Oryzias latipes: one gene and its partners. The protein of the gene in region 2 interacts with the protein of the main gene of each other region in a biochemical or structural test. Links are inferred from orthologs where the notes say so. Each region holds a gene or a part of one and is shown on either strand. Other genes may lie near its edges. The genes, in order: pdgfrb, Na(+)/H(+) exchange regulatory cofactor NHE-RF1 and beta-2 adrenergic receptor.

What was found.
Region 1: the proteins of Na(+)/H(+) exchange regulatory cofactor NHE-RF1 (region 2) and pdgfrb form a complex in vitro, tested with the Homo sapiens proteins (2 studies listed by BioGRID and IntAct, with this or other methods). The link is inferred for Oryzias latipes from reciprocal best matches to the Homo sapiens genes NHERF1 and PDGFRB.
Region 3: the proteins of Na(+)/H(+) exchange regulatory cofactor NHE-RF1 (region 2) and beta-2 adrenergic receptor form a complex in vitro, tested with the Homo sapiens proteins (3 studies listed by BioGRID and IntAct, with this or other methods). The link is inferred for Oryzias latipes from reciprocal best matches to the Homo sapiens genes NHERF1 and ADRB2.

What each region holds. Positions count from the first base shown.
Region 1 is NC_019868.2:16,265,224-16,275,663, forward strand, and holds part of pdgfrb (platelet-derived growth factor receptor beta), read left to right. Parts: intron 1-3,098; 5' UTR 3,099-3,103; coding exon 3,104-3,167; intron 3,168-3,966; coding exon 3,967-4,284; intron 4,285-4,381; coding exon 4,382-4,636; intron 4,637-4,739; coding exon 4,740-4,870; intron 4,871-5,269; coding exon 5,270-5,435; intron 5,436-6,533; coding exon 6,534-6,714; intron 6,715-7,336; coding exon 7,337-7,452; intron 7,453-7,823; coding exon 7,824-7,947; intron 7,948-8,104; coding exon 8,105-8,316; intron 8,317-8,682; coding exon 8,683-8,777; intron 8,778-8,873; coding exon 8,874-9,006; intron 9,007-10,221; coding exon 10,222-10,326; intron 10,327-10,440. UniProt on the Homo sapiens protein: Tyrosine-protein kinase that acts as a cell-surface receptor for homodimeric PDGFB and PDGFD and for heterodimers formed by PDGFA and PDGFB, and plays an essential role in the regulation of embryonic development, cell proliferation, survival, differentiation, chemotaxis and migration.
Region 2 is NC_019877.2:24,305,605-24,316,044, reverse strand, and holds part of Na(+)/H(+) exchange regulatory cofactor NHE-RF1, read left to right. Parts: intron 1-1,715; coding exon 1,716-1,886; intron 1,887-4,402; coding exon 4,403-4,556; intron 4,557-4,634; coding exon 4,635-4,678; intron 4,679-10,101; coding exon 10,102-10,206; intron 10,207-10,274; coding exon 10,275-10,436; 3' UTR 10,437-10,440. UniProt on the Homo sapiens protein: Scaffold protein that connects plasma membrane proteins with members of the ezrin/moesin/radixin family and thereby helps to link them to the actin cytoskeleton and to regulate their surface expression. Necessary for recycling of internalized ADRB2.
Region 3 is NC_019868.2:20,749,972-20,760,511, forward strand, and holds beta-2 adrenergic receptor, read left to right. Parts: upstream 1-4,815; 5' UTR 4,816-4,988; intron 4,989-5,247; coding exon 5,248-6,495; 3' UTR 6,496-9,673; downstream 9,674-10,540. UniProt on the Homo sapiens protein: Beta-adrenergic receptors mediate the catecholamine-induced activation of adenylate cyclase through the action of G proteins. The beta-2-adrenergic receptor binds epinephrine with an approximately 30-fold greater affinity than it does norepinephrine.

The DNA of each region.
Region 1 (10,440 bases), on a different chromosome or scaffold from region 2:
CCCGCCGAGGTCGACTTTAGCATTCTTCCTCATTAGCGGGTGACACTTTGAGCGTAGCAGGGATGTTTACGGAGAGCGGGAAGGGTCAGTCAGCCACCAGATTCCCAGCATCTACGGGAAACCTCATGCGGAGTGATAACAGTTTATCCGGCAGTGCGATTACTGTGCCATCACTGACATAAACGCTGTTTGTTTCTCTCAGACCTCTGAGATTACAGGGGCAATGCAGGTCCCTGTTTCAGAGACAGAAAAGAAAACAATAAACATCTTGGTTGGAGAAATGCTTTTGAGATTTGTTAAGGCTCTTTGCAATTGTGAGGTGAGTCACTTCATTTATACAAACTGTGGGATGGGTTTTTACAGTAAATCTGACAGGGGTCCCAAATCATTTTTACTAGTTAACCAAATATTTTAGTCTTTTTTTATTGAAAAGGGCTATTTTAGATAGTTGTTTCAGTGGTTTTTTTTTGTAAAGGTTTCTATTTGGTTTAGAAACTTATACAATTTTGTTCTGTGCCCAAAGATCCACTCCAAAGAAAATAGAGTTTTTGGAGTTTTAAACATATTCTTGTAGCATTTTCTTCATGATGGAGGACATAAATAAAGAAAATGAATCTCAAATTTCCATTTCTGCTTATTTCTTTATTCAAATTCTTGTGAATTAGGTGCAGACTTTTGTCTTTTGGAAAAAGCTAGCAGCGGTGACGTAGAAGCTACTTGTAGAAAACCAAATCCATGCATATCTTAATTTTCCACGTCTGAGCTGGTATCTGGCTAAAATCTTTACAGCTGGATAGTTCCAATATTGCTCCCCATTTTTGTAGCACCAGTAATGTTAGATTTGGGTTGTCAGGGGTTGTAAGATAAGGGGAGAGCTTGAAAACAGATGGATGACGGGAAATGGGGTGGGCGTACAACTTCAGAGGTGAATTGCTGATGAACTCCTGCTGCTCCACAGAAGCTATGTCCTAGTAAACAACACAGATTTTTTTTCAATTTTGGCCGAAAATGACATAATCAAAATTAAAATACCACTGGGGACACTTTTAGAATAGATCAAACAATGACTGGAGTTTGACTTTAAAAACATGCACAATTTTAGTGCAAGATTGCCCTTTTAGAAGAAATCTATTCATAGTCCCTTACTCCTCCTTGGTCAACATGAACCCTTATCATATTTCAGTAACAAAATATTTTTCCCCCCATCCATGATATGCTTTTTTTTTACTGTTTGAGGCTGTCTAATCTTAGATACACATCCTGCAGTAGCCCTTACCGCCGCACTTTGGCCTGTTTTCAGAGCAGCCAGTAAAAACATGATTTGTCGGCTTTCAAGCTGAAAGACGACACATGCTTTGGTGTCACTTCGTCTGATGCTCCAAGTCTTCATCGCTGACTCTTACCGGATTCAGCTGTGTGCTGATGTATGTCTTCCTGAGTCGACGGGCCCTTGTCGTTTGCTGCTCAGGCCCCCAGGGATGGAGTAACCCCACCGCTTCTGCCTCCGTCACCAGCAGTTTCCCAAGTGTATCCGTGGTCCTGGGAAAGTTTCAGAGGAAAACTGTGGGAACGTGAACTGTACACAGTCACCAGTGACAGAAAGGGGGGAAAGGAGGTCGTTCTGTTTCTTTTTGTGTGTTTGAAGAAGCGAGGGCTGTAAATGTAACATGTGTCTCTACACACTTTGCATTTAAGTGCACGTGTGTGTGAGTTAACTTTTCCTGCTTACTTTCTTGTTCTCCATCTATCTGTGTCTTCACCTCTTTATTGAAACCAGGAGTCAAAAAAGGAAATGAGCCAGTCATGTTTTTGGAGCAGCTTGAGAGCTTTGAGCTTTCGTTGTGGGAGCGGAAGTACCAAAGGCTGCTAAGTTAGTGTAACAACATAAAGATTTGGGTTCATTAGAAAAATTTCCAAACTCATCTTATCAGATCTGCAAGCAGATATTTATAACAGATGGAGAAAGTTTGAAGAGATTTATTGTCACAGAAAGGGGGAAACAAAACTTCAGAACATGTTTACAAAACGCCTCAAAATAGCGAAATGTCCCAAAATAGAGGCAGTTAAACTGACATACAATCTCCCCCCAAAAAATTCTAGGTGAAATTTCTCAACACGTTTCACAATTTTTCCACTACTCACTCCCTCTCTTCCTCCTCCACCCTCGCGCTTCCCAAGACATGCTCTTCCGCCCTCTTTTTATTTCCCACCCTCTTGCGTTCAGGCCTGTGATCCATCCTTAACTGTTTCCAGACGTCTGTGCGCTGAAGGCCTTAACCCCATCTAAAACATAACAACAACCCCACCACCACCACTCCCCTTGTTTGCCTTTTTTTTTTTTGGCTTTTCCAGCAAATCTGCAGCATAAAGGTTTGAAGTATTGATGAGACAATGGGGATTTTTGCTCAACTTTAACCTCTATTGATGCCAAACTCTGTTGCGGCTTTGACGTCAGAGAAAAAGTTATCCTAAAGGTATTAAAAAGAAACAATTCAGAGTTGCAAAAGCACTCTTGCTGGCAGAGGATTAGGTGAATGTCCCGATTTTCACTTTTGTTTACCACGAAACCAATTAATGGCTCAGCAAGACTCTAGAATAGCTTGGACGCAGCATTGTTAGCAGTGAGCGCACTGCAAAGCTGCACACAGTGACCCGTTTGTTTGTGGGCAGAGTGTTGGCGAACCAGAAACAAAAAGAGACAGACATTGTTGCTCTGTGCTGGTGCAGTGAAGCGTCAAACACCTTCACAGTGAACTGCACCTCTGATTCTGTCTGCCAGCCAAGAGCCATGAAAAGAACAGCTTCAGTTCTGATTTTATGGTGGTATTTCCATCAGCAGAGTGTCATTTTCTTTCACGCCTTTTGATTACAAACATGTTGCTTTGGTTTTAACATACGTGCAATACAAAATCTGACAAGGTTTTTTTTTTAAATAATAAAATATTAATTATTGTAAAGCAGCTGGGTTGGGTCCCAGTGACCCCGGATGGGATTCAGAAAATAGATGGATGGAATTTATAAAGTATGTTTCAGATTTTGCAATTGGTGTTTGTTGGGTAAATTAAAAAGGAAACACTGGGTTTTGTCCTTTTTTACAGGACACATGGGTTCAAAGGCGTTCACTATGAGGCGGCTGACCACACGCCAGCTGACAGTTATATTTACAGGTGAGATAAACATTAACATCGACTCTTTTTGTGTGGCGTTTGTGAGGCAATCTTTAATTCATGTGTATGTTCACATGTCACAAAACAGGTAGATGGCTGAGCTAATAAACCTGCTGTCAATTGCAGCAGCTTTATTAGCTCAGCTAAAAGTCCACAAAGCTAAATCAGGGTCAGATATGGAAACAACCCTCAGTGATGAAGACAACAATACTTCGCACTGAATGAGGCTCAGTACAGTGCTTAAGAATACTGTGAGTGATTTGCAAAAGAAAAAGTCAGCTGTGTGGCATCCAGAAACTGTGTAGTGGTGTTGCTGGGAGATGAAGTACATTAGAACCCTGGAGACGGTTCCCGCCGGTGACCAGAGGGGGAGACAGAGCTCTGACCTCTGACACATGTATAACCTATTTGTATTATAATCTGGACCATACAATTGCTCACAATTTATGTTTTCATTAAATGTGCAAACCTTCAACTAAAAGGTTTGTAGAACTAAAAAATTTGAATTAACATTTTATTTAGAGTAGAAGAAATAATTTAAACCCTTCTGAAACAAAATCATATTTTTTTTGTTAACTTGAAGATTGGGCACTTCTTTGAAGTAAGGACCAACTTCAAACTGACCTATGTCATTCTGAACACATCCATCAGCAACACTGCATCCTTATCCTCCCACTCATCTGCTGCAGACAACTCGTGCTCTAAGATGGAAGAAGATTCGACTCACATTGTTGATTTAACCTCTGACCTCCTGCTGTCATCTCCTTGACCTCTTCATCTTTTGTTGTGCAAACTGCAGCCTGGCTGTATTTCTGCTCTGGAGCGCGCTGTCTGGAGGTCACACCTGATGAAAAAGAGATCGTCCTGGCTAAAGGCTCTGAGCTAACGCTCACGTGCTCCGGCTTAATGGAGACAACCTGGGAGTATAAGAAGGACGACGTACCCTACTTTCAGGTTGAGAAAGATCAAGAAAGTCATCAAAGCTATCAGAGTGTAAATAGCGGCGTGTTCTCCAGTGTTCTCACCCTGCTAAAAGTGAGCTGGCAGCACACTGGGGTGTATCAGTGCATTAATCGGCACACTAAGGAAACCAAGGAGGTGGCTGTGTTTGTTGCAGGTGGGGCTTGGCTTGTTTAACTTTGAATGAACTGATTTTGAGTCACTATTAACATGTTGTAGGACATTTAATAAACATGCTTGTGTTTATGCTTCAGACCCTGAGGTGTGGTTTGTGAGGAGTGACCACGGCATGGTACCCAAAAGTGAGGAAACCATCATCCCATGCATGGTCACCAACCCAAACATCAGCGTCACGCTGCATGAGAAAAGCTCTCACTCGCCCATCAACGGGCTGTATGTTCCCACTGAGGGGTTCAAAGCACCCCTGGAGGCAAGGACATATTTCTGTCGTGGCAAGCTGAACGGCAAGGTGAAAGACTCTCAAGACTTCCATGTCTTCAGCATTTTTGGTAAGTGTAAAGGTCACCTGAGCTCCTACACAGACATGGAATCTAAGTAGTTCATTATTTTTAAGGCTTATCATAGCTGAATAACTGAATGCACTTTCCTCAGTCCAAGAGACCTTTGAAACCTATGTCAACGCTTCAAAGACGGTCCTGAAGCAGGGAGAGCCTCTGACTGTAAACTGCACCGTGCACGGGGTTGAACTGGTGAATTTTTCCTGGGATACTCCCAGCGGTGAGGTGAGTAGGAGTGGTGCAGAACAAGCATGTTTTGTTCAGCTTCTCCCCTGGTGATTCTTCATGGCTGAGCCAGAATTATATCAAGATGTGGAGACGCGCCCCAGATTCAATTGTCTTGTGAAACTGAGCTCACAGCTCAGTTCCAGTTTGACTTTTTGAGACATTTTTAGCGCCATCCACATCTGTTTGTGATTGTGTTCATTAGAGAGGTACAAGTGTCTTCTAAATTTTGCAGATTGATCCTGCTATTATCATGCTTCAGGCTAGGTGAAAAGTAGAAGTTACCTGCCTTCTGTTAGATTTTTGGGGTACTCCTAAATGAAGATATGACTCCATAAAGATTTGCCATCTAATAAGGCCAATTCTCTGCGCAAACATGGATTTTTTTTTCTCTTTTAGCTCGAGGAAGTTGATCCCCTGACTGAATTTCTGTCATCCATAACCATGCGCTCCTACCTGATGTTCCCTGGCACCACGGTGGCGCACAGTGGAACCTATGTATGCCATGCTCACGAACTCGTTCAAGACCAGGAGGCCAGCGCCAGCATCGACATCACAGTCTTTGGTTAGGACACACACACTACTAAAACAAACCAATGATGTGCACATTATTATGGTGGCTGAGAGGAGACAGTTTATTATATCAGCCATAGCAGGTTGAGGTGGGAGAACAGCTATTTAAAGGAACTTAAAGTCAGGTTCTTTATTTTCGTAGAAAGTGTGGGATAAACCTTCGACACGGTGATACTTTGAAAAACAGAGCTTTAACTCAGCAGCTATATATTTATTTCCCCCCCAAGTGAAAGAGTGTTTGTGTAAAAGAGATTCAACTTCAAACACAATCGCACAGCAAGTCAGCGATTTTAAAAACAGCCCGTTTGGAGCCAATAAAAGCAGAATTGCTTGTGCTTGAGCTTTTCTCTTCCATGGTCTGGCTCTTGACCCTCACTGGGACCATGAATGCTTACTCTGTCTGCAGTTAGGTGTGTCATGTTTAGGAAACCTTTAACCCAACCTGGCAGGTTCAATATCAACAGCAGAAGAGAATCGTTTTTAGTGGGGAAGCTGTCTGGACAAAAAGTGCCACAAAAATACTTTTCAAACAATAAAAATTGTCCAGGATGAAAACTTTTTGTTTGACTTGCAAGTTTTGGTTTGACAAATGAAAGCAAATAGAAATGTATGGCAAATTGATGTGTGAAGGTCCCCTAAATTTGCCAAGCTGTTGAATTATTTCCAAATATGACATCTTAGAGGTTTGTGAAAAAAACACAACCGTGTCTGATAAAAGAAGAACCTAAGATGTTAGTTATCGATACAGACGTTATGAACTTTATTGAACTATTTCAAAACATGTTGTAGTTTCTCTGTCTGTTTATGAAGTTTCAAAAATATACGCCTTCAGAAACATTAGACCAAACTCAAATATTTGTCTGGTTAAAACAACTGGGCCTAAATGTTTTGCTAGTTCCTTTAATATGCATAATTCGGTCAGACAAAAGAATTTAAATGAATATATTTTTGTTACTTCAGGTCGAGTAGAGTGGATTCATTGTCTCCTAAGAAGCCAAAGAAAGTCTCATGCATACTCTTATTGTGAGTTTTAACGTGTGATTGCACTAAATATGCTGTGTTGCTGATGAGATTTTTTTTCTCTTACCAGAAAAAGGTTTTGTGGATGTGAAGCCAGCTCAGTCAAAAAACATTTCCACCAAAGTACAGGAGAATGTCGAACTGCGAGTGGAAATCACTGCCTACCCGCCTCCTCAGATTCTGTGGGCCAAAGATGGCGCCACCATCAAAGGAGACAAAAGCATCACCATTAGACAAGTGAATGAGATCAGGTAGATCGTCCAGCTTGAATGATCAGCTGTTTCAAAAATTCACCACAAATCCACAGACCAACACTTTGAGTTGTTTCTGTTTAAGCAATTAGCACAGGACCTGTGAGTCTTTCAGTCAGTAGATGCGTGCAGCTTATGTCAGTCAGCACCATGCAAAGCCTCCACAGAGAGAAACACAATTCCCTCCATAGGGCCGGACTCCATCTTTCAACGCACATGAACCATAAACACAAAACGCCTGTCACAACTCTCAAAGGACTTCTAGACAAATGCCAAACAAGAAAAGACTTTTAAAATAAAGGTTAAAAAACTAATGATCTAACTGAAACATCAAACACAGGCCTCAGTAGACAGATTCAAAACAGCAAGTAAATGGCCCAACATCATAGTGAACCTTATTGGATTTTGTCAGAGTAACAGATCTGGCATTCTTTTCAATTATTAACCACATATTTACACCATCAGAACTTCATTTGACTTTTTTAAAGTTAAAAAGACAAGATTTTCAACACAAGATTAAGAAAAAGAGAATTCATGTTATTAAGATGTTTGTTGCTCAATTACATGTAATCAGAAGGAGGTAAAAATAATTAAGATTCTGTTTCATTCTCTTGTGCATCAGGTACGTCACCATTCTCACGTTGGTGAGGGTGAGGATGGAGCAGAAAGGACTCTACACTGTCCTCATTAGAAATGGGGATGACTCAAAGGAAGTGGCCTTTGACCTGGAAGTACATGGTAGGTAGACTTGTCCAAAAACCATCTGTCTTGTTTTTTTTTTTTTTAGTAATTTTTTCAGTTGTGAAATATTAGATTAAAACATAAAAACTAAAGTCCAGTTGTAACAATTTTGTCTGATTTGGGCTGATTCAAACATGTTAGGACTATAACAAGCAAAGATAACTCAAGATATTTTCTTTTCCCTTTTTTTATATATTGTAATTTGGCCCCTTTAGGCCGCCATTGATAATTGTCACTTTACAAATGAACTGATTTAAAGTTGGCAAAAACAATTTGTATAAATGTATTTCCTGGGTCTAGTCTACTTCACTATCCTTTATTGACTACTGCAATGCTTATCTAATTCTACTTTTCTTGGTGTGTCTTAGTTCCCTCTCAGATTAAAGATCTGTCTGATCACCACCTGCCAGCGAACAGACACTTGGTGACCTGCACCGCAGAGGGGGTCCCAACTCCGACCATACAGTGGTACAGCTGTGACAGCATGCTGAAGTGAGTGCCACCCCTCCTTCCTGAGATGCTGCAGTGTCAACACTAGAGGGCTGACTAAACACACACATTTATTCAACATTCAGAGCATCAGCTTTAGCTTTGCTCTCCTCTGCTGCAGATGTTGTGATTTGAGTGCTGATCCAGTGTTCTGCTGCAGGTGTAGTAACCAAACATCAGCATGGCAGCCGCTGGTCCCACATTCAGAGGAGCTGAGCATCCAGACCAATGTGAGCTACAGCCAGGCACGAAAACTGAGTCGAGTGCGCAGCCAAGTGACCTTCCTCAAGCCCCAGCAGGTCACAGTTCGCTGTGAGACCACCAACCAAGCCGGACTCACCGACCGGAGAGACATCAAACTGGTGTCTAGCAGTAGGTGTTCTGACAACCACTCAGAATGGTGTATTTTTCATTACAGTGAGACCTCAACGCAATTTTGATAGTCTGTTATTGTTAAAATGTTGTCCATAAAATGTTATTCTGTAGTTGTCTTTACAAAAAAAAAGCTAAATAATTTATTGCGTCATTTGATGTTAAATAGAAGACATGCTAATATTAAGTTATTGTTTGTAGAATTTGGTACAAACTACCGTGTACTATCACAAACATTTATTTACTACTATTTTCTTTAACTCAGTAAAGTAGTATTAAAACAAATGTTTAGCCTCATGTCTGCAGAGTTTGAATCATATTGGTTTATTGTTTTCTCCTAAAATGCCATGTCCATGTCCTTTGCAGCACTCTTCTCCCAGGTGACTGTATTAGCTGCTGTTTTGGCATTAGTGGTCATCATTATTATGTCCATCATCATCCTCATTGCTGTATGGAGGAAGGTAAGAAAACACCTTTGTGGAAATAAAAGTGAATTTAAAGACAATACTAGAAAAAACATTGAACTTGATGATATTCTTTTCCTTGATGTTCCTCAGAAACCTCGCTATGAAATCAGATGGAAAGTCATTGAATCTGTGAGTCAGGATGGCCACGAGTACATCTATGTGGATCCCATCCACCTGCCCTATGACCTGGCCTGGGAAATGCGCAGAGACAACCTGGTTCTGGGTAAGTCAGAATAAGACAGGTGTGGATATTGGGAGGAAGTTGGATTTATGACAAAATGTAGGTTTCTTTAGTCTTTGTCAAAACCTTTTATCTACTAGTTAAATTATTTTTTTATCCAGCCTGAGTGCAGTTATTCAGTATAAACAATGAAAGAGTCCATTTAAGAGGTCTTCTACATCAGAAACAGCTCCACTCTTGTTGTTGTACAAAATACAGGTTCAGGTCAACCTGAATGTACATGAAAAAAAATGAACAGACAGGAAGTCTTTAAAGTCCCACTCTGTTTAAAATCTGTTTTTGATGTTTTAACACGTTCTTGTGGCTTTTTTTCTCATGATGGCGGTCACAAATAAAGAAAATTAAGCTTAAAATTACATTTCTGAGGTATTTCTGTAGTTAAATCATGAAGCCGGAGCAGACGCAAATACGCAGTTGGTAAAAAAGCTTATTTGTGATGTTGAAAATACACTTGGCGGGCCACAAGCTCCCTGCTTCGCCATGTTGAGGGGAAGGGGGGTTGGGGTTGCTTTGTGCCAACAGTCCTGTCTACAACTTCGAAGGAACTGTTGTGCTCTGCAGAAAATGACACAGATGTGTAGAAAATGACACAGATTTTTTTATTTTGGTCAAAAACAACATAATCATAATGAAAAGACCACTGGGAACGCTTTTACAAAAGATCAAAAGTTAATAAAAATGGGTCTTTAATGGCAAACTACAGAATATTCACCTTCAAAATAAAATTCCATGTTCACTTCAAGCTAACCTCAAAAGTTAGCTGTAAGGTCAGTGCATCATCAGACTACGCTTCTCAAAAGATGAACTACAAGTGGAGTAAAAAGAATTGGTTAAAGCTTCATTCTACAGCTGTGTGCCCAGGCCTTTGCTTGTTGTTCCTCAGAGGTGAACAAACAGAATCAGTCACAATTAAAGTGTTGTTTTCTGGGTCGTTTTGGTGCCATTGGTGACAACAACAAAAAAACCAAAAGTTTAAAGTTGTCTCACTGTTTTCCTCTCTAACCAGATGACATTTAATTCATGTCCTCATTAATAATGTCTGCCTTTATCGTTGGCTGGAAATAAGCTTCAAGCCTCACTTTGCTTTGGTCAACGGCAGAAATGACACAGATAAGCAAAAGAAGCGGCTTTCTTGTTTTGCCACTAATGTGCTCTTCGCTCTGGCTCCACCTCTCTGAGCTTTTCTTTGTCTCTCAGGTCGCACTCTTGGATCAGGAGCGTTTGGCAGGGTGGTCGAGGCAACCGCATACGGTCTCACGCACTCCCAGTCCAGCACAAAGGTGGCAGTGAAAATGCTGAAATGTAAGCATAAAAACGCAAGACAAGTCCATGTGCGTGATTTACGTGAACAACCAGAGACCCCTGCATGGCTGTCAAAAAAATCTTGACAGCGGGGTCGTATCCCTGCAACCTCAG
Region 2 (10,440 bases):
CAGAGCATCCTTCTGGTGTCTGAGTCATTCAGATTCACAATCAACACATTAAATACATTACATTTCAATTATGTGCAGCATAAAGTAACTTTGACCTTCATTAGAATATCTTGCTTTTGTTTTTTTTATTTAAAATTGAATAACTGACTTTTTGCATCAAAAGCAAATAATTTATTAGATGTTAATACATTGCAATGACTCAGTTCATTCTTCAACATAGTAAGCAAACAAGTACTAAGTTACCATTAAACTGGCATTAAACTATTTTACCGCTTCCAGAAGCTCATAATGATAAACATCATGACGTCATTCTGTTCAGTAAAAGTCTTCCCGTTCTTCCAGAAACGTCCTGTGTTCATCTCTATACTCTGAATTTCACCATTTTGACCATGAGGGTAACGATCTGCACGCACATCAAATCTTTATCTATGTGTTCCGGCATTGGGCGTAACCCGCGCAAATGATTGGCGTTCACGTCTGTGTCAGGAGCAAAACACACACACTGCCAAATTACTTTGATAGTTATTTATTTTTAATACCCTCTGGTGGTTTCAGTGTGTTTTAAGAGGGAAAAACTATGAAATGAGGCAAATATGATGAGACGCAAAGAGCCGCACGCTCATTGGCCAAGAGCCGCATGCGGCTCGACAGCGGCGTGTTCGCCACCCCTGGACTAGAGTGTGACTGTGGAAGTACACCTGACGACAGCATCACCCGTACATCATACGTTTGTGCAATTGACATCCATCCAGTTTCCTCTGCTTATCCGGGTCACAGGGGCAGCAGTCTAAGCAAAGATGCCCAGACTTCCCTCACTCGCAATCGCAGTGACCTTTAGTGTCAGATTCAAAGAAAGTGTGTTTGAGGTTTAGACGCTTAGCTCCATTCAAATCATGTTGAGCAATAGCCTCAGATTCTTTTATGTAATTCTTTTGTAATCCAGCCGATCCACTTGAACGTTTTGCAGACTGGAGAATTTCCAGGATTGACTGACGCGGAAAGCTGCTGGAAATTCTCCAAACCAGCTTTTGCTTGTCGGGACATGAATTCCAAGAGCTGGAGTGTTTTCCCTGCAGGAGCTGTGTGGATCGAAATTCCCCTGTGATGTCTGACCAAGTGCTTCTGCTGTTTGCTGTTGGCTCATCCGTGCTCCAGTTCCTGACCGTTTACCTCGTCTCTGCTCCTGCTCCTACACCTGGCTGTGGTTCCTGTCTCCGGCTCGACTCGCGCCTTTGACTGTCCCGATAACCACATCTGGATGAAGCTCGTCTGCTGGACTTTTATATATGTAGTTGTAGATTTAGATAAGTTAATTCTTCTCTAAGATTTCTGGTAAATCGCCTGTCCGTCCTGGGGGAGGATCCCTCCTTCATGTGGACACCCCTGAGGGTTCTTCGTTTTTTCCGGAATCCAGTTTTTTTGGGAGTTTTTCCTTACAGAGAAGGGGGGTCTAAGGGCAGGGATGCCAGTATAGCTTAGTCAGTTTGTTAGTTCATTTTAGTATTTTCCTATTGAACTCTTTGTATTTGTGATCCTTTTAAGTTCATGTTTTACTTCGAAGCCCATCGAGACGACTGTTGTTGTGATTTTGGGCTATACAAATAAAATTGAATTGAATTGAATTTGCTTTCAGCAACACTTTGTCCGGTGAAAAGACGCGGCCGGTTAAAGACCGTCAGGTCTGACTGATCCCTGTCATGTGTGCCTGTGTGCAGGACGAGCCGGACGGACTGCGGCCCCGCCTCTGCCACATGAAGAAGGGCCAGAGCGGCTACGGCTTCAACCTGCACAGCGAGAAGTCCAGGCCGGGCCAGTTCATCCGGGCCGTGGATGACCACTCCCCCGCACAGCGAGCCGGCCTCCGGCCGCTGGATAAGATCATCCAGGTTAGCAGAGCGCCTCACAGGCTGCGGTCAGCCGTGCACACAAAGCGGTGCAGGGAGTTCAGATGTCCCGGGTTGAGTGGGAGCTGCTGCTCCTGACTGTGTTCCCACCTCCTCCCATGGAATTCCTCAGGATCTTATCTCCTCTGATGCTTGATTCGTTCTTGCTTGGTAATCCCTCCCAGATTGAGGGGCAGGAACGGACCTCTGCTGCGATGGGAAATGAATCGCTGAACTTCAGTTCTTCTGCAGTTTTTTTTCAGGAGCTTCTCGCCACATCAGAGCGTTCTGGTCAGTAGAGGATAAGTCGGTGTCCAGCCAAGGAATCGTCTCCTTTTCCTGTTACTCCATGCATTCATGTTGTCATAAACTGGACAATGTGGGCGAGTCTCCATCAAGTCTGTTCAATGCAAAGAATTTACAACTTTTGAGACTAAATCAGTAATTTTCTCACCAGCTCTTGATCAGAATAAAGGCATGGTTTTAAAAGCAGTGGGTGGGGGTGGGGGGTATTTTTTCAGGATTCTGAATTCAGAGCTTGCTTCTATTTTGTAAATGCCACGTAACTGCTCTAACTTGTGATGGTTCTACGTTGACCTGTGCGTCACATTTGAACGCTGAAGCAGATGGAACATCGTTCTCAAACTTTAAGAATTAATTCATGAGAAAATATTCATGAAAATGTTCCAGAAATGATGATCAGCATCATCTCCTTTTACAGCACGAATGATGGACGGCTGTTTTTGAAGCTGAGTTCATGTGAAAACGTGCCGTCGTTCTATACTTTATACTTTCTACAAAGCAGGTGGCGTCTCCATGACGGCTCGTCTTTCCTTTGGGTCGCTAATTCAGACGCATTAATCCAGAAACCCAGAACGCTGCGTTCAGGAGCCGTCGTGCATACCGGGTGTGTTCAAAGTCTGGTGTCCTGTGCAGATTTTTGGGGTTTTCTTTGAGCCTCGTGTATCCAGAGAGCAGAGACTTGACCACCTGCCAGGTTCAAACGCATGGACCTCAGGACAATAAACCCGTTCGTTCATGTCAGTCATCCATTGGTCAATTTGAATCTAGGGAAACCTCAAACCACCACTTTATCAAACTTTCTAAAACTCATCTATGGTCAATAATGAAAAGAGCAGCTTTGTGCTTGAAACTGTGAAGCTGAATCTACTGCACAGCTAAACAAGGAGGAAGCGTCCATGAAACCCTCTAAGTTCTGCAACACACTGATGGAAAAACGTCAAGATGTCTGATTTCTGAACGTCTGCTTCAGTTTTCAGTCTCAAGTTCATGTCCAGAGTCTCCAGGATAAAGTTGTTTTTCCTAAAACTGTCGTTATCTGACATGAGATGACAGTCCGGCACCTCTGACTATCGCTGTAGTTTGTGTGGACATCCTACAGGCGTCCGATGGGCACGTGCGTGTCACGTGCGTGTCACGTGCACACCCCGTGCGTGCAGCATTTGTGCACGCTCAGCAAGGAGCCAGTGCTGATGGCTGGAGCATCAGGGCTCCGTGCGACAGCCTCATCCGTCTGTCATAAGTGCGTGCAACTTACATTATCCTCACCATATATATTTACCACACGCACGACAATGGTACGTTCCATCTTCAGGTGGCCGTACGAGCCTCATGGGAACTGCAAGACACACCTGCGCTCCCTTCAAGATGTAGCGGCTCCTCTCTGTGACCCTGAACAGACCCGAACAACCCAAAAAGAGAACGGCAGCAGGCCTGCATGGGTGTGTGACTGAGGCCTAAAGCAGAGAGATGGAATTATTATTATTGTTGTTTTAGGAAACAAAGCCTGATTATTGCAAAAGTCTCCTCTCTGATTCCATCTGCATCCTATGAATTACTGATTGGGGTCGCGGCCTCAGGACCCCCCCCCCCCCCACGCCCTGGTTCAAAGTTCAGGTGAAGGAACAAGCCCGTGTCAGCCCGTGTGCACGTTTGTGCGGTGCTCTCATGACTCAGCTGTGTTAAAACATGTCACACGTTATCAGCACAGCAGCCTCCTCTTGCTGGAAAAATTACTGGATCATTTTCTGATAATGGTTCCTTTTTTAGGGTTTGTTCATTCATCTGCTCTTAATCATTTATGGTGAGCGGGTTAAACATTACGGGGAGCTGTCCCAGGCGTGACACCGTGGTGCTGTCGCAGCACTGCCGCTGTGATGAAGGTGGTAATCTGGTTCCACCGGAGTTTACAGGTTTACTACTGGATCTGTGGGGCTTAAGGGAAAACCTCTTTTATTGGGACTTGCTGCAGATCCTGAGTTGTTGGTTTGAACTTCCAAACAGGGTTCAAGTGAGGAGAATCCAAACCTGTGCAGCGGTTTAACTCCCACTTCTCCGCCTGCTGTGTTTCTGTGCAATGACTGAATGATTATATATTTTTTTTGGTTCAAACTCTTCTAAAATGGTAGAAAAGAATGATTTCTTTAGATAAAACAGCTTTTTCAGATTCCCCTAGTCCTCTTTTATTTGACAGAGTTTAACCGCTGCTCCGTCTGCAGGTGAACGGCGTGCCGGTGGCGGGGATGCAGCACTCCGAGGTGGTGGCCGCCATCAAAGCCGGAGGAGACGAGACCCGGCTGCTGGTGGTCGACGCGGAAACAGAAGAGTTCTTCAAGAAGTGCAACGTCACGCCCACCGAGGAGCACGTCACGGGTGAGCAGAAGATCTGAGAAAAGACCTCGGCGACGGGGAGACTCGACTCAAGCCGCCATGTTTCCTCTTCTCCTGCAGGAGCGCTTCCGGAAGCAGAGTCCAGGAGAGAATCAGAGGAGGAGGTGAATACACGCACGCACACACGCACACACAAATGCGCACTTGTGCCTAAAGCGCGTGAATGAACAAAAACGTGTGCAAACGCACACACACACCAACACACACACAGGCATAAAAACACTTGTGCAAAAATACGTTCATAAACAAATACGTGAAAAACTCATGTCCACATGCACAAACACACACAAGTACACACATGCACAAACACAGGCATGAACAAACGCCCTTAAATACATGCTCCTGCAAAAACATGCATGCACAAAGAGACGTGAACAGAGAAGCAGGATGCTGATTGTTTGAACTATAACTTTACTAAGCCAAACTAAACTGACGTTTAGCTGCTTTAAATCTGCTTTTTGACTTTGAATCTGTTGCTGCATTCATTAGCAGTTTTGCAGCTTTCAGAAAAGATGAGTTTGTCAAGCCCTGCAGAAGGGGGAGGGGCTTAGACGGGAGGCTGGAGTCATTAGGAAAAACTGATCTGATTGCAAAAATGAGACTTTAATACGACTTTTACCACCGTGTCATCTCAGTTTGTAGCAAACACAAAAGCATTGCATGCTTTGAGTGCTGCCCTCTAGTGCCAACAGAGCGCCAAAGCAAGTGCCTGTTTGCTGAACGCTTTAAGCTCTCTCGGGCTGTCTGGACATGAGACATGTTGGAAACGTGATGTCCACAGATGAATGTTCACCTCAGCTGCATTTTGAAGGCAGTTCTTGGATCTCCTCCTTTCACTGAAAGACGTCTCCTCCTGCACCAAATGTGAGCAATGCTCCTCTGAAGGGGAACCTGCACAAAGGCTGAGGGGCAAACAAGCAGCCAGTGAACTGTCAGCTGACCCCTCACCATAGAAACCCCCACACACACACACACACACACACACACACACACACACACACACACACACACACACACACACACACACACACACACACACACACACACACACACACACACACACACACACACACACTCTTTCAGAGCAGTGTGTCCTGGAGGATGATGCGATTGCTGCAGCTTTGATTCAGGGATTATGTTAATGAGCTGCTAATGAAGGCCGTTCTCATACTTTCACATGCAGGCGGGGTCACTGAACCACAGTGGCAGAGCGGCCCCCACTCCTGCGGGGGTTTCATGATTGTCTTTGTTTGACTGTCCCAGTGGACCTTCAGCGGAGCAGCTTGTCCATGAGGACAGCACAGGTCTGTGGGGGCCTCCGGGGTCAGACTAGAGTCCACGCTGCTTTGAGGGGGCTGATTAGAGCAGGATCTGCTGCCCCCTGCTGGACTTCACCAGCATTCCCAACGTTCTTAGTCAAATGGGGGCTCGGTCACCGCTGTGGGAACTTCAGGAAACTCCAGGGAGCTCCAGTTTTAGGGACTGCGATCCTTCCACCAATAAAACCTATTTAAGGTTGTTTTTGACCAAAACATCTTCTTCAGAGTTCTCCTAAAACTCCTTTAACCCTTGTGCTGTCTTGTAGGGTCAAGATGACCCCACTCCCAGCGTTAACATGCCTCCACATTAACATTGGGAGTTGGGTCATCTAGACCCACTAGACAGTGCTCTGAACCTTTTTTCTTCAATGATTTGTGAACCTCACTGGTGTCCATGGATTACATGAAATCTTTCCACCTTTATCCACCTTTGTCATGGTAGGGAGAACACCTCAATGGAAGGGGGGGGGTCATCTGGACCCCACAAGACGGGCCAAAAGTGCATATTTTAACCCTATATAACCATTCTTTTTGTATTTGCTCCACACACATTTTCCTTTACAATGATGATATTGTTTTTAAAAGTTTCTGGTCATTTAGATTCTACCATTTATATGATTGATAGATTTTCCTAATTGATTCAAAAGGAAATTCTATCGTTCTGCAGGTCAGAGCATCACCAACACAACTACACAAAATAAAAAGGACAACACTTTAACTCCTGCCTTTTTAATCTGTAGAAACATTTAATTTCAACTAAAAACATGTTTTCTTCAATACTATTTCAATACTTTATTCATGTATTTTATTGGAAAATAGTTCAAGGTCAGTCTAATCATATTCTTGATCATATTTGTAAAGTCAGACTCTCCAGTTTTTACTTCGCTCTGTCGTCAAAAAGCCACATGTGAGTCTCCCCCAGCTGCAGGAGCCTTTAGACCAGGGGGGGGGTCCAACTCATTTTCACTGGGGGCCACATCAGCATAGCGGCTGTCCTCAAAGGGCCAGATATAACTTATACATGTAACTAAATGTAATGCATCTACTCCATAATGTTAAATAACTCATTATTTATTTACTATAACTTTTTAAAGTGACAATTCCAGTTGCATAGAAACATGTTTGCTTGTTACTTTAGCATAAATCCTTTTACATTTTGTCCCCTTTTTAAAACCCACATAACTGCATAAATAAAGGTTTCAAACTGTCTAAGTGAATAAAGAATATTAACATAAAACTGAGCTAGAAAGAACAAGTATTACATTTAACAAAAAAAGGTGTCTGCAGACACACATAAGACCTGCAAACATTGAATAATCACAACAGCAGCTACACATAAATAATATGTAATCAACTAAAGAAAAAAATCATTTCAATAAATTAAAAACTTTTTTTGCTCTTGTTGGCCACATAAAATAACATGGCGGGCCACCTGTGGCCCCCGGGCCTTGAGTTTGACTCATGTGCTTTAGATCTTCATGCAGACGGGACTCTGACGGTCGTCACTGCGTTCCTCCTCTGTGCGTGACGCGACGCACCTCAGACAAACGGCTGCAGCTGGTTTTAGAGTCGCAGACGTGCGAGTGCGACACGCGCTGCACTCCAGACTGATGCAGAAAATTCCACGAGCTCATGCTCGGCACAGCTCGTCTAGCCGGTTTGGTGTCAGCGGAGCAGAAATCCTGTCAAGGACACACAGTTATTGGTCCTTCTCTGGTAATGACAGGAAACTCAGGCATACTCACCGAAATAATCCTAACCCTTCTGCTGTCTTGTGGGGTCTAGATGACCCCACTCCCAATGTTAACGTGCCTCCTAGGGAGTTGGGTCATCTAGACCCACTAGACAGTGCTCTGAACCTTTTCTCTTCAATGATTTGTGATCTTCACTGGTGTCCATGGATTACATGAAATCTTTCCACCTTTATCCACCTTTGTCATGGTAGGGAAAACACGTCACTGGAAGGGGGGGGGGGTCATCTGGACCCCACAAGACAGCACAAGAGTGCCTATTTTAACCCTATATAACCATTCTTTTTTATTTGCTCCACACATTTTTGAGTCCCGTGTCTCATTGGCACGGCCCAAACTTGTTTTTAGCCGTGCAGTTCATCATCGGTCCACCAGAGGCAGTAGAAGGTCTTTTCCTGCTCATTTCAAAATGTCTGCTTCCATGAAATTAAAAACAAAAACACTTGTTTTTAGCTAAAGTTTAGCTAATGTTTTGTTAGGTTGATTTATTGTTATTCTTTTTTAAACTGACTGCTTGCTGTTTTATAAGAATGAAATGGATTATTAGAGCCAACATAAGAGAAGATGGAAAAACAAAGCAAATGAAAATGAAGTTGTACAGTTTTAAGAAAAAAAATCAACAATTTACAATTGATACTAAAAATTAAATAAAACAAATAGTTACATTGAGCTTTTGTTTGAATAATTATTACAGGTTTCATTTAAGCTGCAGAGAATTCCAAAAAACTGGATGACATCACACCTCGCTGAATCTGTTTTTTTGTAAATGTACAACTTTCATTTTGGAAAAAGCAAAACTTTTTACTTTCAAAATTCTGACATTGACGATTTTATCCTCGAAAAATTTGGACTTCTTTAAAATATCAGTGGGACTTTATTTTCAGTTTTTGACAGCTTTTTGTGATTGCAAAATTGAATTCTTTATAATCCAGTTACAGCATGTTAAAAATGTCTTCACTAAATGTGAGACGGTGGGTAAATAAGCTGCTCTTTATCCAAACACGCGTGTCAATATTTTTGCAAACTTAAACTAACATTACTGTGGGTAGAATTATCCAACGTATCATAACATCTTTAATTGCACTTTTTTTTGGTGGGGTTTTTTAATTAACCCTTGTGCTATTTTAGATGACCCCCCCCTTCCATTGACGTGTTCTCCCTACCATGACAAAGGTGGATAAAGGTGGAAAGTAGAGCTGCGACGGTGTCGAATTTTTCATCACCGCGGTGATAAACCACCAGGGGGCGCGGTGTCGCGGTTAACCGCAGCCCCCATCCCCCCCCCCCCCCCCCCGCCAAAAAAAAAACCCCACACAACATCCCCCGGCGGCCGCATCGGAAATAAATACAATTACAACGTACTAGTCTTTATCAACAAACAACAGCAACAACTAACAACTACATATCTAACTGGTGAACTAACTATAGGAGTTGTAGATTGACTGTGTGTGTGAGCGCGGAGCGTCTTGTGTAGGTATAGGAGGAAGGTGCGCGCACGTGTGTTGGGGGTGTGTGTTGATTCTTCTGCAGCGGACCGCTCTGGAGCTGCACGGGGGTTTCACCTGTGCTCTCTGGTACAGACATCTTCTCAAAATATGCTATATTGCCCAGTAATTAGCAGACTGCAGACACTTTGTCACCTCTCCAGTAGCCGTGAAGCCTGACATCCATGAAGAACGCGGGGCAGGAGGCTCCGCCTTTGTTCATACAGACACGTAACGTTACGCTGCAAAAAATAGTTCCCAAACAAAACATGTAGTGATAATCATGGAAATCTAACAGTGCGCGTTCATGTTTGGTGTTACGGAGTGAAGGAGGACAGTAACCCCCCCCCCCAACACGAAATCCTCCGGTGGGCGGCCGCGTCGTGCACTTAAGAACGCACGCAGCTTGTAACGGAAATGAATATAATGGAAATTAATAATTAGAAAGCAGTAAATATGTTGTATTTCCTTGCGAGACGGAAACTTCTATTGTAGAATAAGGATGTGTGCTTCTGAAAGCGCGCGCCTGTTTGTGTAACTGTAACCGCAAAGGGAGCCGCGTGCCACGTGCAGCGCAGTCAGACAGTGAGAGCACGCGCGCGGTGGGAGAAAAGGAGACAACAGTCTGAAAGAAAGAAGGAAAGTCTGAACACAGGACTAGCAGAAAAAGGAAATTATCAGCAAAGATGAACGTGTTTAATGTGTTTATTATAGTTCCAAACACGCACCATATGCAAAATGTAAAAAAAAAGATGCGGTGATGAGGTCATCGTCACAGCACGAGTGGAAAGATTTCATGTAATCCATGGACACCAGTGAAGATCACAAATCATTGAAGAAAAAAGGTTCAGAGCACTGTCTAGTGGGTCTAGATGACCCCACTCCCAACGTTAAAGTGCCTAGGATAGCACAGGGGTTGCGGGGTTGAGCCGGAAGACGTTTCCACATCCCAATTCATGTTTGTGTTTTCCAGGCAGCAGCAGAGCTGAAGCCCAAAGAGTCTGTCAGCTCCAGAGCGTCCAGCGTCTCCTCCAGCAGCTCGCTGCAGCAAGCGGCGCCCAGCTCGCCGCCCGCAGAGGTGCCCGAGTCTGAGGAAGATCGGTGCCTCCTCGCGGCCCCCACCTGACCACGTCTGTGTTTTTACAGGTGGAGGAATCCCCGCGGGCCGAGCCGGCCCCCGCCGCAGACGGCCTGGGTCTGGGCGTGTCGCTGGCCGAGGCCAAAGAGAGAGCTCACAAGAAGAGGGCGGCCAAGAAGGCGCCGGCCATGGACTGGAGCAAGAGGAACGAACTCTTCAGCAACCTATAGGCTG
Region 3 (10,540 bases), on a different chromosome or scaffold from region 2:
ACCCTGAAGACAGAAATGATAGGAAGTGTTGGAGTGTGTTACCTCACTAGATCAACATTGCAGCATTTCAGGCACAAGAGGACCCGGGGAAAAGTGGGATGAACTTATTTCAGCAATGTGGAGGTGTGCAGCCTGCATCTGGGGCAGTTAAAAGGTTAACCACATGTGAACTGCCCCTGCTTGGGAGTGACAGGATACAGGAAAACAGATGTCACATTCTGAGGAAGTCAGTTGCGATTTTTAAAACATGCAGATTCACACTTTCCAAAGCAAAACGATGAACAGATGTTACTTTTCGTTGATAATTACATTTGCTTATTGCATTTATAAACCAAATATAATCAAATTTAGTGCAATAAAGCTTTATTCTCTGAAGCTGAGATCTTCAGACATTTTTGACTCCTGTACAAATATTATAAATACAGTTTCCTGTGTTTAAAAAGTGCATTTTTCTACTATCTTCACAATACTACTGCAGGATGGAAAACCAAGCTCTGAAAGTTGTCTAAAAGCACAGATAACACAAGTCTTATCTGTGGTGAAGCTCCACATGATGGGTTTGACATGTGTGTCGTGGTGTAGATAAAAGCTATGTGGGTCACTAAAATTCAAGTGAGCAGAATCGGCCTAGAAAACCAAAATGCTCGGCGTTCTGTCAGGACAGTATCTGAATTTTCATCTCATGTGGGGTTTAAATGGAAAAGATTCTTCTATGGTGCGCCTGTGCTGCTAATGAGGTGTGCAGCAGAACAACATGCGCACAAACGCTGAATTTTCTTAGTCGGGAGCGGAAACCTGCAAGGCTGCAAGCAACAGAATTAGAAAGGATAACATGAGGCGGTGTATCGCAATTTGAGCGATTTTATTTCAAATTAAATCATTAAATAACATTTGTAACTTTCTTGTGAATGGTCGGCATTGAGATTTGAGCACTCAAATATAGCGACAGCAATTTCTCATGCGTCATCAGTCATAAGGAGCTCTGTGAGGGCTTATTGTTGAGCACATGGATGAGGCCCTCGGCTTCTGGTGTCTCTGCATGCACTGAAGGCACTCTGAAAACCACCATCTATTTGCCATTTGAGATCAGCAACGATCTCCCTTCAGAAACTAAGCTTGTCTGCAAGCTCAGTTGCAAATAAAGAAATAAAAAAAATGCTTTTGCTCTATTATGATGACACGTCAGAGAACTGTCTATGAAGACTCTCATTCATCCAGGTTGATTCCATCATAGTAGTAGGTTTAGGGGCTGTCATCTGGACTTGGCTAAGTCCAGATGACAGCCCCTAAACCTACTACTTTGATTTCAGAGAAATAGCTACATCAAGCTTTCTTCTTACTGTGGAAAAGTCTAGACTAGTCATTACACTACTTAAAAAAAAAATGCTGCTAGACTCGTTTCCTAACAGGAGACTCCCAAAAAAAAACGGTATGTTTGTCTGTTAACGTTTGAGTCTTGAATGAATGTAGTTGGTGCCTAGTGTTGGTGACTAAACTTTTAAACTTGTTAGTCTTTTTTTCATGCTTGTTACGTCCCTCTTCAGGAAGGAGGGAGAAAATAGGTACCATAAAGAAAAAAATAATAAACGTGCAAGGTTAAAGTTGGCCACACAGCCGTTTATTCGGGTGACACATCATAAAAACCAAAGAAACTAACAAACAAAACACCAAAGACGTAATAAGCGATGAAATGACTTAAACTTTTAGGCTGTAAAGCAAGTAAACGTTTACAGAAATGCAGTCTCCAAAACTCAAAATGCAATCAAAGACCACTAGGTTAAATTTGACAAAAGGACAAAGCCAGAATAAAACTAAGAGGGTAATCAGAGGCTTTCACTGGCTAAGGCCAAGCAGACAACAGGGGCAGGCTGAAGAAAAAAATCCTCTCATGATTTCAGCTGCCACTGGAGCAGGGGGTTATTGGGAGCTTTTAAAGCTTCCCTCCCAGCCAGGCGATTGGTGAAGAATGGCAGCCTCAATAAGCTCTGCAGGAGGGTGGAGTCAGCAGCTGTGCAGAAGCTGGCTGGACCCCTGCAGGAGATAAAACTCAAGCCCATGGACACATACACACTCAAAACATGCAGGCAAGACCAGGGGGCCTTACCATGCGTCATCTATGATCTTTTCAGATGCTTACTTCCTCCATAATCCTCCTCCCCATATGATCTAAACTCTTAGTTTAAAGCAAGACTGCAATTTTAGGAAATTAAAAAAGGTGCCTTTGCCAATAAAAGATTAATGTTGCTATAGTTAATCAATTAAAAATGTTTGCACAGCTAGCAAGAATTTTATATTTGTTAGATCTGAGGGCAACTACATTGAGGCAGCGTCTACTTTTGAGCAGCTATACTATTGCTGTATTAGTTTTAAATGGTTATCCTTTGTTCCAGTGGATGGAGAGTAGCTCTCACTTTACTTAGTCCATGTAAATAAGGCTGCTAACTATTGTCCAATTGGAAGAAAACCTGCTTAGTTATTTAGTCCTTTGAACATGTGGCCAACATGGAGAACAGCAAGTCAGCTCTCATCCCTCTGCTTTATGTTGCCCTAGCTGGTCTCTGCTCAAATCAGACTCCTCCCTCCTCAGTTTCCAAACAGGAATTACCCACTGGTTTCAAGAAGCCAGAATTCCAGACTTTTATTGCAAAATGAACAGATTTCATACAGTTATTATATATGACAAAATAATCATTTTTCTTTGAAAACTTTTTTTTTACACATTTTTGCAAATCCGTTTTTTTTTTCATGAAACCTTTTCTTTATTGCAAGTTGTACATGTTAAAAACTGTCCAATCAGATGCTTCAATTAATGTATGCAGTGCCTTCTGGCCCCCACATTGAACATTTAAAAATGTTTGACAGATTCTCCCAAAGTTTACTTTTGGACTTCCAGCAAGTTTAGTCCTGATTGATGAGAGTGGTTGCCATAGAAACAATGATTCAGACATACTTGGACCCATTGCTGCTTATTGACGTTGTCTCGTTTTGCAAAAAAATGGTGACTTCATTTGGTTGGAGCCGAAGTAAGCCATTTACTAGGAATGACGTCACACTGGCCCGGTGCAGTTTTCTTTTACAGTCAATGGTTATAACTCATTTCATGATGACATCAACAAAAAAACTGCAGGTTGCCCTTTTTTACCAAATCTTTAAAGAAAAGCAGTTTTGAAAATACCAAATGATCTACATTTTTTTTATTTTGTTGAAAGAGATGTGCAAATGTGGATTTGTTTTGCATCCTGAACATGGCCTGAATTTCAGCCTGACCCAATAAATAACAGTGCTCCTTTATTTCTTCTATATACTAACAAACAGGCAAGATGACCATGCCATAAGAATGGTCACTTTGCCAATGGTAATTTAGGTCACACATTTACGTCATCTCATTGTTCACCTTGTGACTGTAAAAAGATGAAACACCTTGATAAATGTCAAAGTGTATTCCCATGAAGGATTTCTTCTAAATGAGGGCTCAGACATATGGCATCTCTTATCTTTAATCTTGTCATGCCTTGAAAATCCACCACGAAACACCAGGTTTTGGTTTCTATGGTTGGTGTTAATGCAGGTATATAATCCAAAAAACGTCAAGCATCCTCTATTTAATCTCAGGAGTGGAACTGTCTTTGGATTTTTTCCAAACCACGTACGCTCTAATCTATCTAATGTGCGTAGAAGAAAATTATGCAATTCAAGATTTTGCGCAATTGAGCAAAAATCTTTGTGATCTTTAAGCAAAAAATCAGCGGTAAAAAACACATTACAACAGTCTCAAACATTTGCAAAAATCTTTGTTGTTTTCTTTTTCTGTAGTTTGTAAACCTTTTAAGACCTGTAACCTAAAAGGATAAATAAAATGTGCACGTTTATTGATACTTGCACATTTAATACACCTTCGAGAAAAAATACTTTAAAAAAAGGCTGAAGTACAAAAGTGTCACAAAAGATTAGGTTAAAGGGTTAGGATTGAGGGTATTGGATCATTTTATTACAGAATCATTTTTAAAAAGAGATATATTAACTTAAAAGAATTCAATAAGCATTGAAGACTTTCCGTGAAGTGTTTTTACGCATTCACAAACCAAGCAGAACTATCATTGCATTGTTGAAATTTGAATAAATGAGGTTTAGTTTGCATAGATCACATGTATGGAATAAATGTGGTCATAAAAGTGCAAATTTGTTCTTGATCCTCAAAGGCTTTCTTTTAGCTCTTGCTGTGAAGATCACTGCGCCTTTTACGTACCAAAACACTGAGGTCATTTTTACAGTTTGACCTTTGGATGTTAAAATGTAAGCATATGTTCTTGTATTGGCGAAGGTCCTGATTTTTATATAAAAGAGCAGCCTACAAAACTCAAAGGTTTTGTCAGGACAAGAAGTGTGTTAAAGCTCCAATCCAACCACTCAATAGATCTTGACAAAATTCACTGAGCTACACTTGCCAGTTGGATCACTTGTGAATCCAGCCTGATCTTACAAATGCTCAAAAAATGCTTTAACTAGTTTTAATTGGATACAGATTCACAAGCATGAAGCTGTAAACTCATACAGGAACATAGCATAACAGGAAGTAGACTTTATGACTCGAGCTGAAATACAGCTCGTAGATTTCAGTACAAATTTGCAGGTTTTTTAAATATGTAAATGTTTGCCTGTGTTGGCTGCCGTATGTCTCATGCAGCCCTGCAGCAGCAGCTGTTGGGACAGTGTGTTCAAACTCCTGTGAGCGCTCAGCACCCTCCACAGGCTAGTGCGCTGATTGGCTGAGCTCTGACTGTGATGTCACCATTGCATGCTATAAGGACTCTGAGACACATCAGAGGAAACACTGCTCAACGGAACGACTTGGTAGAGAGACAACTGGAGCTCAACCCGAACAAAAAGTACAGGGGCATGTGAGCCTTGCCAGTCTTACAGGAAGTATTTCAACACTGACATTCTGACATTTTTATGGGAGGCTGGGAGCAAAACAACGACCTGTCGAGGTTGGTATTTTTGCTCTTTCTTGACTCAACTTGTTTTTAAAGCATGGAGCCAAAAAGGTCGTTATGGCTGGTGCCTCTGCTGTGTTTTTTTTAATCTTTTGTTGCTTTGCTTGTTTTTTTGTTTCAGATACAAACATTCATGTTTTAAACTTTATTATTGCTGCATTTATTTAGTTCCCATAAGTTAGATACATGTTTGAATTGTGCACTTCCCCTCTTTTTACTGTGTCTGATGATTTTCTGCATGTGATTTCTTCAGATGGGAGTTACAGTCTCTCCAGTCTACTCGAATGTGAGCACTACGTCATTGTCCAACAACGAGACGGGCCACAACGAGATGGGCCTCAACGAGACAGGCCACAGTGAGACGGCTATGATCCTGATGGGCATCGGAATGTCTTTTCTGGTGCTGTGCATTGTCTTTGGAAACATCCTGGTCATAACAGCAATCGCTCGCTTTCAGCGTCTCCAAACTGTCACCAACTGCTTCGTCACATCTCTGGCGTGTGCAGACCTGGTCATGGGTCTCATTGTGGTTCCCTTTGGTGCTTTAAACATCATCTTCGTTAAATGGCACTTTGGTAAATTCTGGTGCGACTTCTGGACTGCCACAGATGTCCTCTGCGTGACTGCAAGCATCGGGACCCTTTGTGTCATCGCTATTGACCGTTACGTGGCCATTACTGCACCCTTCCGCTACCAGTCACTATTGACAAAGTGCAGAGCTCGAATTGTGGTCATCTTTATATGGGTGATTGCTGCTTTGACATCCTACCCGCCCATTCATATGAACGTGTGGAGATCCAATACATCGGAAGCTGAGAAATGTCTTAATAAAACAGACTGCTGCCAGTTTCACACAAACATACAATATGGAATCACCTCCTCCATCATCTCCTTCTACATCCCTTTGATCATCATGGTTTTTGTCTACAGCCGTGTTTTCCTGGCGGCCAAAAGGCAGCTAAAAAAGATTAACCAAAGCGTTGGACGCTTTCATGTAGATTCTTCGGAGGACAAGAATGGCCGTGGACAAAAGAAGGCAAAGTTTTACTTGCGTGAACACAAAGCCCTGAAAACTTTGGGTATCATAATGGGGACCTTTACTCTTTGCTGGCTACCATTCTTCATCCTTAATGTAATCGCGTCCATATGGAACGTGAACAACTATAGCGTATTTATGATTCTGAACTGGATAGGCTATTCAAACTCTATGTTCAACCCTGTCATTTACTGCCGGAGTCCTGAGTTCAGGTACGCTTTCAAGGAACTCCTGTGCATCAGGAGGAACCATCTGAGCCACCAAGGCCAAACAAATGGATACATCTACAGCAGGCACAGCTGGCAGAGTGAGCAGCAAGGGAGGAGCAAGTGCAACTCGGAGGACAGTGATGCCAATGAGGCTTGTCTGATAAAAGGTGCAGGGGTGGGCAGTGGTGTGGACAGAGCCATAGACCCCAATGGAAACTGCAACAAAGGTATAACGACTGTCACAACTGCCCTTTAAGCACGGACCACCGACCCTTCAGTCAACAGAGAAAGATGAAAGCCTATACACTTATGAACATTTAGGGCTTTTCTCTCAATCGCTGATTAAGGTAAGGCCAGTCAAAGTGGCTGGCAGTGTTTCAAAAGTGTTTCAGAGAACCTGCAACGATCACATCAAGCTGAGGAACATTTTTTTTAAGTTAAACATAGTGACTACATATTGTAATGTATTTTTTTTATTACATGATGACTACATCTACCTCCCTAACGGCTTTACAGTGTTAGTTTCTTTACCGGCTTACATTCTTACCTTTGGAGTTAAACGAGAGCGATGTCTCAGCTGTGTGTTGAGCCTAATAAATGGCGTGTGAATAGTACATTTGCAGATTATAAGGCTTCATCCAAAACCTTAGGGCATGCTTTATTTATTTTTTGCTCTTTCTTGAGGAGGGAAGCCACAGTTTTTTGTATGGTATAAAACTGTATTTGAGATTTTCCATGCGATTTTTCTTCCAATGCAAAGAATGGATTTTTGAACCAGTCTTGGTCTTTGCATCAAAAATTACATTCCGACAACACTTGAGGAATCTATTAAGTTGTAATCTTTTTTTCAGGGAGCTATATTGGCTACGCGTGAGGCAAAACACGTCTCAGTCCTGCTCTACTGTGCAAGACTGTGTTTAAAGGAGTTTATGTTGTCAGCAGAAAGCACAAGAGATATGGCTGGCTAATCTAGATCCTAATGCTGAGCCTAAGGAACGCCTGTAGCTGTTGGGTTAATGCCATCATAAAACATCAAAGCTTGTTTTATCAGATAACGAACCGTAAAATACCTATAATTTTTGGGAGGAACGCTAAGTGCAATAATATAAAACTTGGGCTGAAATGCTCACCGTTTTCATAAATTCAAACATTTCTTTTGGCTTGTTACATATACCTGAACTATGTCTATTTTCCACTTGTTGCAAATCTAAAACCACTTTTTTGTTACAAATAACAGTGAGAACGACGATTCTTTTTCTTCTGTGCGACAAATTTGAACCATAGTTGACCCATAGCTGCATGAGCCTTGTTTGTTTATCAGATTTTGCAGTTGCCATGTTTCAGTATGTGCACAGTTTACCGCAACCAGAGAAGCTGTTTCCTCATAGTGCAAGGGTACAGACAACACGTAATCATAAACAGGGTGTGAATGCAGCCAAATGACAAAGTTCTAGCACCAAGCCATAACGGTGAAGTCAGCAACCAGACAGAAAAAAGAAAAAATCCAAAGCTTGTATTCAGTACACTCATTGTTTTTATCTGGCTATCTCTTTTCTTGTGTGTGTAATCATTGTGCCATTTGGACAAGAGACACGGGAGCCTGCAAAAACGTGCCTCGGCTTCAGTCGTTTCAGTCAGTTTTGGTCAGTCTTATTTAAATGCCCCTTAATGTGCAGCCTGGAGAAAAGGCAGCTGAGCCCTGATCCAATAAACACAAACACATCTCCTGTTTAGCTGAAGAATCATCATAAAAGGGATCCAGAGGACCAACCTAAAATGATTTTCTTTCTTGTCATTCACTTTAAAACTTCAAGGAAGACTATCGTGGACAATAAGCACTTAGCACAAAGGGCACGATTGCAAGCCTATTAAGAGTAAAGGAAAGTGTTGATGTAGCTGCAGCACCTTTCCTTAGTGAGTTTGGCAGAAGTATGATCTTGTCAAAGGGACTGAACACTAAATGTAGCTCCTAAGACAGGAGGGGGACCAGGGACTCTGCCAGGCTAAATCTGTGTTAGTGACTTGTATTTTTGTGCATGTAGCATCGCCTCTGACCGGGGTTAGATTTGCTGACACTTTCAAAGCTGTGAACTTTGTTCCTCCAGAGGAAACCTCTTATGTACTGTATCGCACGGTTTGGTGAGCGCTGTTATCACAGACCTTAGGAGTCGACGTAAACACAGTGTCATCATACGTCAATGTTTGCCATGTGAAAAACAAGCTTTCCAGTGTGCTGATCTTTTTCTGTTTTTCTTCTTTGCGGATTTACAGCAAAGTAAATGTACAAGGTTGAATGTCATAGGAAATGTTTCTTTTAGACTTTTATTTTAACATTTCCACTGTACAGCATGCCAAAAGCACAAATCTGATATTAGACCAAGTTTGTACATATCTCCTTCAAAAAACAAAACAAAAAAAGGCACTAATTTACCAACACACCAGTCTTTTTGTTTGAAATAAAAAAATGTAAATTTTGCAAGCACTCTGCAAGTGTTTGCACGTCTGCTTTTAACGTCTGGTGTTGTGTTGGTGGACCTGCATGCTCCTCTCTGTCAAAGTGATCTGGCTGTGAACTGCACATCCACACTGCTCCCTCCTGGCAGTAGACTCTCTTTGCACCTCAGTCGCCACACGTTCGTACAAAGGTTTCATCAATAGCCCTGTAAATTGTAGAATGTAAGCCTTCACATTCTCCAGCGCTTAAGAAAACCTACGTGCGTTTTGAATATCGAGCTGACGCACTTTGCCATTCCAAGCACAGCTGATGTTTTATGTCAGACTTTCAGTGCACATTCAGTTCTCTCTCCAATGTCTTGTTCCAGAGCACATGCTGCTCTGTGCACTCTGAAACAATAGGTACTCTCCAAGGAGAATTATGGGTTACAGTAAAAGCGAGTCTTAGAGGTTATTTTATAGTTTTGTGTCTGTATCAAATTGGGTGACGTATTAAACGTTAATATGATCTTAATGAACCTAAACTTGCACTGTATAGCACTTTCAGGAGATTTAGAAAATCTGAAAAACATTTTGAGTTCACAAAATTAAAAAAAAATGGTTTGTTTAATTAACCTTCTGGTCTAAAACATACAAATGAGTAAAAAAAAAAAGAACATACTTAATTCATTTCAGGGCAGGATGTTGCTCAAAGCTTCAATATAAATCTTTTCAATGTTTCTATAAAGTTCAAAATTTCATCATTAGACATTAAAGAGCAAACTTGTCACATGTTACCTTTCATTTTTATGGTGGGAGTGAAACACTCCCCGAAATGTTTACTAAATGTTTGCAAGCTATTTTCGCACAAGTTGTTGTCACTGTTAAAGTCTTGAAGCCTGTTGTGAAATGTGGTGCCCTGTGGTATTTATTAATAAAACAAGTGTATGCGTGGTATGTTACATTTTTATTGAAATAAATTATGTACATGTTGTGTGTAATGGTCCCTTTGATGTGTCTTTAATGGCTGCCCTTATAGCGTGTGGTACAGTACAGTCATCTCCCCAGAGTAGTCCTTTTAAAAGGAAGATGGAGAGAAGTTCAAATTCTTTAAATATGAGAAAACCATCTGTATGTGATTTAAATGATACAAGGGGAAGATAAAACTAATGTTTCCATTCGTCCTTTTTTTTAACTACACCTCTGTATTAATTAATAATGTCATACTTCTGTCAAATAGTTCCCCTTTTTCTGTCAAAAAGAGAACTTTCTGACAAAAAAACAAAGAATACAATACAATAGAGGTGTGGAATAAAATACTCTGCAAATCTAGGTCTCTGAGAAAAAAGTAAAAGATTCTTACCCCATTAGCAGAGTTTTTATAAATAAGCATAAATATTTGCCAATAGGGTGATAAAAAGTGTCTTACCAAAAGTTCTCATTTTAATAAAAAAATATAGTCACTAAGACATATGTTGTAGGAGGAAATGTTCAAAAACAAATTTAAAAAAATTCTTGCAAGACATAAAGACAGTTTTTCAGGCTTTTTACTTTCCTCAGATTCAGTTTTTGGCTGTGTACAACTCTGATTCACCTTAAAGTAAAGATTAAAAAGACTTGTAAGCTGTGGAATTTAAGAAAAAGACTTGTGGTCTAATGTTAAGGAATAAAAAGAACATAAACTTACACATAGTAGTCAGACTACTACTACAATTTCGACGGTTGAATATTAATATATTGAGACTGCACTTTTGAGATGTTATTTCAAAAGTGCTGTGAATAAATCCAAGAAACATGAAACATTTTGTCTTTTTAAGGCAAGTCTTTGTGTTCTCTTAAAAACACCCAAAAATGCCTTCAGACTAGGA